Arabidopsis thaliana: one gene and its partner. The protein of the gene in region 1 interacts with the protein of each later gene in a pairwise test. Each region holds a gene or a part of one and is shown in the gene's direction. Other genes may lie near its edges.

The links. The genes of interacting proteins can lie anywhere in the genome.
Region 2: the proteins of AGL36 (region 1) and ERF2 interact in a two-hybrid assay, tested with the Arabidopsis thaliana proteins (one large-scale study listed by BioGRID).

Annotation. Positions count from the first base shown.
Region 1 is NC_003076.8:9,341,748-9,345,506, forward strand, and holds AGL36 (AGAMOUS-like 36), read left to right. Parts: upstream 1-2,037; coding exon 2,038-3,138; 3' UTR 3,139-3,264; downstream 3,265-3,759. UniProt on the Arabidopsis thaliana protein: Probable transcription factor.
Region 2 is NC_003076.8:19,171,070-19,174,796, reverse strand, and holds ERF2 (ethylene responsive element binding factor 2), read left to right. Parts: upstream 1-1,840; 5' UTR 1,841-2,042; coding exon 2,043-2,774; 3' UTR 2,775-3,154; downstream 3,155-3,727.

The DNA of each region.
Region 1 (3,759 bases):
AAGATATAATATCCACATGATTTTATAAATTATAATTTTACAAATAAAAAAAAAGACAAAAATCATATTTATGTATTAAACTCTTGATTTTACCCAAATTATGCATATATTTTCTAAATAAAAATAATTTTCATAAATAATTTTTTATATGTCATTATTAATAAATAAATACATGTAGTCATATTAATGTATTAAACTCTTGATTTTACCCTTATATGTAGTCCATTTTTAAAAATACTCTTTCTCTTGAGCAAAACAAACAAATTACCCACATCTAATGAGAAACATGTAATTTATGAACTGAAATTTTCCCGCCGAATTTATTTTTTCCCTGACAAAAAAAAATTCTACCAAAATATTTTTTTTTCCGCCAAATTTTTTTCCCGCCATTTTTTTTTCTCTGTAACAAATGTTTTTCCAGCTAAAAACATGCATTTAAAAATCTTTGTAAAGGTTTTTAAAAGCTTTGTAAATTTGTTAAAAACCCTTGTAAATCATTTTAAAACCTATTAAAATCTTTATAAAAATTTTAAATATATATGTAAATACTTTAAAAACCCGTTTTAAAACCTTTTGTTTTACATTTTAAAACCTTTTACAATAATTTTAAAAGATTTACAAGAGTGTTTAAAAGATTTACAAGGATTTTAAAAACATTTGTAAATGTTGTAAAAATCCTTGTTAAATCCTTTAAAACCCTTGAAAACTATTTAAAAACCATATAAAAATCTTTTAAAAACCCTTAATAATTTTTGAACCATTTTAAACTCTTATGAACCCCTTACAAAATGTTTTAAAAACCCTTGTAAACCATTAAAAATCTTTTAAAATCTCATGTAAACCCTTTAATAATTTTTGAACCATTTTAAAGTTCTAGAAAATTATTTTAAAAATCTTTGTTAATCTTTAAAAACACATGTAAATCTTTTAAAACCCTTTTCAAATCTTTTAAAATCACTTGTAAATCTTTTAAAACCCTATAAAAATCTTTTAAAATCCTTTGTAAATCTTTTTAAAACCTTTTACACTTTATAAAAATCTCTTAAAATCCCTTATAAATATTTTAAAACCCTTTTACACATTTTAAAAATCTATTAAAATCCATTGTAAATCTATTTCCTGCGAAATTTGTTTTTTGCGGGAAAAATCTTTTTTAAAACAAATATTATGGCAGAAAATGTTTTTTTGAAATTTTTTGGCGGAAAATTTTTTTCAGAATATTATAGGCGGGAAAAATCAATATTTCATTTTTTTACCTAAAACATATTTTAAATAGGGGTAAATAGTCATTAAAAATTAAAAAAGGGTATAAATGAAAATAACAAATAAGAAAGGGCAATACTGAAAAGGGATTGTGTTGAAAGGGCATTCATACCAATTATTCAAAGTTTTTGGCGTTTCTGTGAGATGTACTTTGCATATTTTCCAAGTTGTTTGCCCATTCTAAAAATTTATTTGTATGATTCAGAGTACATCTTTAAATTACTGTAGATAACAAACTTTCTGAAATTTACTTTAGATAACAAACTTTAGAGTAATTTCTAGCTTACCACAATTCTATATACATTGACAATATATTACTGTATTTTAAAAGTACAATCACTTAAAACTATTGCAAAACTTCATATTTTAAGAACAAAGTAAGCTAGAAATTATTCTTAGTAAAAAGAAACAATGAGAGTAAGAGAAATTAATTCGCCAAAATAAAAACAAAACTTAGAAATACAAAATATTATATTACATGCCCCCTCGTATTACATGGATAGATTTTTTTCTTTTTTTTGTCATCAGATATTATTTAGGATCAGACGTACCAAACTTTGGATAAGAAAAAATATTTTTATATAGATAATAATGAATTACCTGGTCAATTAATTGATAAGAGATTTCCTGGATGTTATTTAGAATTAATTAGTCCACCAAAGTGATAAGAATCCTAGTGTCTATAGAATCACCTTTCTTTGCTATATAAACATCCTTTGAGCAAACAAATTAAACAAACCACACAAAACAAAAAAAAAAAACAAATTGATGGGGATGAAGAAGGTGAAGCTATCTTTGATAGCTAATGAAAGATCAAGGAAAACATCCTTCATAAAGAGGAAAGACGGGATTTTTAAGAAACTCCACGAGTTGTCAACTCTGTGTGGTGTCCAAGCTTGTGCTCTCATCTACAGTCCATTCATACCGGTTCCAGAGTCATGGCCGTCAAGGGAAGGTGCTAAAAAGGTGGCTTCAAGGTTTCTGGAGATGCCGCCGACAGCCCGAACCAAGAAGATGATGGATCAAGAGACTTACCTTATGGAGAGGATTACCAAAGCAAAAGAGCAACTAAAGAACCTGGCTGCTGAGAACCGAGAGTTACAGGTTAGACGATTTATGTTTGATTGTGTTGAAGGCAAAATGTCCCAGTATCATTATGATGCAAAAGACCTTCAAGATTTGCAATCTTGTATAAATCTATATCTCGATCAGCTTAACGGAAGGATCGAGTCCATTAAAGAAAATGGTGAGTCGTTGTTGTCTTCCGTCTCTCCTTTTCCTACTAGAATTGGTGTTGACGAAATTGGTGATGAGTCATTTTCCGACTCTCCTATTCATGCTACAACTGGGGTTGTAGATACTCTTAATGCTACCAATCCTCATGTTCTTACGGGCGATATGACTCCTTTTCTTGATGCGGACGCAACTGCGGTAACTGCTTCCAGTAGATTTTTTGATCATATTCCATATGAAAATATGAATATGAGTCAAAATCTGCATGAACCGTTTCAACACCTTGTTCCTACTAACGTTTGTGATTTTTTTCAAAATCAGAATATGAATCAGGTTCAATACCAGGCTCCTAATAATCTGTTTAATCAGATTCAACGAGAATTCTACAACATAAATTTGAATCTGAATTTGAATCTGAATTCGAATCAGTATCTGAATCAACAACAATCATTCATGAATCCGATGGTGGAACAACATATGAATCATGTTGGAGGGCGTGAAAGCATTCCTTTCGTGGACGGAAACTGCTACAACTACCATCAACTACCATCCAATCAACTACCAGCCGTTGATCATGCTTCCACCAGTTACATGCCTTCCACCACCGGTGTCTATGATCCTTACATCAACAATAATCTCTAATCACAAAAGAGGGAGAAGAACTAGTCTAAGTGTTCAATTGTTTGTATTTGTGTTTTCTTCATTTCGAAAGACAAAAACTAATGTTGTTTATTAATAATGGTTAAAGGATCTCTTTTTAACTTAATTATGTATTTTGATTATTAAGTAATGTTTTGCCCCCAAAAAAAGATTATTAAGTAATGTATTTGCTCACCGTAGTGTGGGAAACTTTAATTGTAGAATTTTATTTCGAAAATTTAAGATGTGACTGGTACAATATTTAGACGGAAATTTTCAATTGAATTCTTTTAGGACCCATACATAGAGAATAATTGTTTTCCCCAGCAATTTAAAGTAAGAACTATTATTCTTTGAATCAATTATCGATTTGCCATTTTTTGGGATGGTATCTGTGGATTTTGTCCTTTTCTGAATAGTTTGTAGATTTTGCCTTTTTCACACTACGAAAATATGATTTAACATGTGTTTTATTCGTTATGTTTTGGTTTAGTCGGTTGTGCTTGTTCTTAGGATTTAATATTTTGTATAAACTACGTATTTTTACCAAAAAAATCGGAAATACATACTTTTTTTAGTGTTAGAAAATGGCATATCCATAAGATTTTAGTAAAAATTACAATT
Region 2 (3,727 bases), 9.8 Mb from region 1:
TCTTGTCTTGACAGTATAATTACCGAACTTAGTCAATGTCCAACTATATCCATCTCGCGAGACATTTAGCCTCGGTTTTATCCCTAAAATCAAAGTAATATCCTCGGGGGGGGGGGGGGGGGAACAACTCCCGTAGACGATCTACTTTCCACCTCTTCGTCTGGAAGTCAATCAAGGTGTTAACGTAGACCAAAGGGTTCCTATCCATAATTAAACCTTTCGGTGGTCTTGGAGGAGTATCTGGGATCCATGGATAATAGGCGACTATATGTTCTAGGAGGTTGCACAAAGAAAAAGTTTGTTCTAGCATAATATGAGAATAGATGATTTACGTCTTAAAATTAAACTATCACCGACTAATAATAAGCATAATAAGATGTGACTAAAACAACTAAGATTAAATGATGATCATCATGACATTTGAAAATTATATAAACCCAAATCATAAAGAAACAAGAAACAATATGAAAACAATATATTCCTAAGATACAGCAAAAGTGGATGTATGTGAAACGTCCAAAGAGATAATTTGAGGATTAGCTGCGGAGTTCAAACATAAAAACGAAAGTTCAACTACTACTTTCATATTTAATTAATCAAAGTATTTAATTGCAAAACGGAACTTAACCTGATTGGATCCATAAGTATATTATCATTATTCTTTTACCAAAGAAATAAATAAATTCGTTTTTAATCATATTTAGAGCTATTCATGTTCTTGTAATCAATTAAAAGTTTCATTTGTTTACAAACATAACATCATATATACACTCAAAAACAGCAAAATTGAAATAACCATCTGACCAGAATGATGTGTTTGAACCAAAACTACTCTTGGAATCGAATATAGATTAAAAATATATAGTAAACTAATTTTTAGAGAGTTTGAGTGACTATTGACTAAACTATGCTTCCGTGAAGGAGGTCCCTTTTGCAAGTGGACATACGTGAGAGACCCACCATTAATTTGTCTTTGAGCCTTATTGTTGTTATTGACTTTTAGCCAATAGAAAGAGATGGAAATTCAATAATTATCCACAAAATTCCAAATCATTGGTGTACAAAAAGATCTAAGGCTGTTATATTTTCAAAAAAGAAAGAAAAGAAATGCAACAAATATGGATTAAACTGTGGTTTGTAAATTGAGCTTTGCATGAAAACTTTATCACTATGATTTCACTACTCCATATTTATTGACTAAAGTGGCACTAATGAATTTCTTAATCATGAAATCTTGTATCAAAAAGTACTAAAATAAACATGACATTGGCAATTAGGAAAATTCTAAATTAGAAATTAGTAAAAATGAAAGGTGAAAGGGAAAGATGATGATATGAATTGGTTGGTGACCAGGAGAAATGTATCCCGATTTTTGCAGACACTTTCAGTGTCCCCATTCATATAATTATGGCCCACCTCGTTAAGATTTTTCATTCACCACCATAACAAGATCTAAGCTTAGATTTCATGTAATTAAACATATAATATACTTGCCAATACTATCTAATAAAGTATACTTAAGCAAAAATTATTACTCTAGTGTAAGGCGATGAAATATAAGTTTAGTTGAAAATTTATGTCGATATAACAAAGTATAATGAATTAAGACCTTGGTTTTCGATTAACAAACTAATTAAACACTAGTTTTGCCTAATAAAACCGGGAATCGTATTCAAAACCGAACGACAAAACAAGGGACAAGTTGAGAGACAAAACCAAATCAGCATCTTTCTTCCAGAAATGTCATGACCACATGACGTCATCTTGACCCTTCTTCATTGTGATATCTGTGGATAAAGCGCACGTGTTTAATTCACGAACCTTCGTAGTAACGAAAAATCCACAACTTTCATATTTTTTAATTACCCACTAAACTAAAACAAATTTGGAAAAACATGAAAAACTTTTTCTTTTTTTCCAGGTTCGTGAACCTCGTACCCTCTATATAAACCTCTTAACCACCTTCCACATAGAAAAAAGTTCAGATATTTGATAAATCAATCAACAAAACAAAAAAAACTCTATAGTTAGTTTCTCTGAAAATGTACGGACAGTGCAATATAGAATCCGACTACGCTTTGTTGGAGTCGATAACACGTCACTTGCTAGGAGGAGGAGGAGAGAACGAGCTGCGACTCAATGAGTCAACACCGAGTTCGTGTTTCACAGAGAGTTGGGGAGGTTTGCCATTGAAAGAGAATGATTCAGAGGACATGTTGGTGTACGGACTCCTCAAAGATGCCTTCCATTTTGACACGTCATCATCGGACTTGAGCTGTCTTTTTGATTTTCCGGCGGTTAAAGTCGAGCCAACTGAGAACTTTACGGCGATGGAGGAGAAACCAAAGAAAGCGATACCGGTTACGGAGACGGCAGTGAAGGCGAAGCATTACAGAGGAGTGAGGCAGAGACCGTGGGGGAAATTCGCGGCGGAGATACGTGATCCGGCGAAGAATGGAGCTAGGGTTTGGTTAGGGACGTTTGAGACGGCGGAAGATGCGGCTTTAGCTTACGATATAGCTGCTTTTAGGATGCGTGGTTCCCGCGCTTTATTGAATTTTCCGTTGAGGGTTAATTCCGGTGAACCTGACCCGGTTCGGATCACGTCTAAGAGATCTTCTTCGTCGTCGTCGTCGTCGTCCTCTTCTACGTCGTCGTCTGAAAACGGGAAGTTGAAACGAAGGAGAAAAGCAGAGAATCTGACGTCGGAGGTGGTGCAGGTGAAGTGTGAGGTTGGTGATGAGACACGTGTTGATGAGTTATTGGTTTCATAAGTTTGATCTTGTGTGTTTTGTAGTTGAATAGTTTTGCTATAAATGTTGAGGCACCAAGTAAAAGTGTTCCCGTGATGTAAATTAGTTACTAAACAGAGCCATATATCTTCAATCCATAAACAAAATAGACACTTTAATAAAGCCGTGAGTGTTAATTTTTCAATCTAGTTTCATTTCTTACATGACATTCACGGCTTTATTAAAGTATTACACCATATCCCCTAATACAATCTCTTAACTCAATTTGAGTTCTATATTGCTAAGTAGCCAAAACTTGATCGAAGAGGTAACAATTACTAAAACCAAAATCCATCAACAGTAGCGCGACAATAAATAATAACCTATCTATTTTAGATTTTTTTTTGTTGTAAATGTTGTGAGCTTAAGTGTGTAATCACTTGTAAATGTTTCTGTTTGATACTCTTGAGAAGATGAAGCTGTCTAAGGTCGACAAGCAAAGGCTCTGCTAGAGAAAATTCATTTAAGCAATCAATTTATATCTTTGATTTTTGAAGCACATAAAACTTTGAACCCAATAAAGGTTTAGAATGAGAAAAACCGTGTCTCGCCTAGAGGATTCAGTATTGAAACCCAGTTATTCTCTTAATGGACTAAGAACGAATATTCTTTTCATTAATGGGCTTTAACCAACGAGAGCTGATATTTATTATTGTTAATGGGCTTAACCAGTTTGTAGCCCACGGATAGATAAAGAGAGGACCAGAACACAGTTAAATAGCACCCGCCGCAGAGAATAATAACTCAGGAAGGGTTTATAGATTAGGTTTTTAAGTCGCACCTCTCTCTCTCACTGCCGCATCTTTTCTTAGGGTTCTTGTTTCGCTATCTCTTAAACACAAACAGCTCTGTCCGAATAATCTCTCTTCAAGTACCTCTTTTTTCTGATTCTGTATATCGCCATGAATTACTGATTTCCCTCTCTATAAACCCAT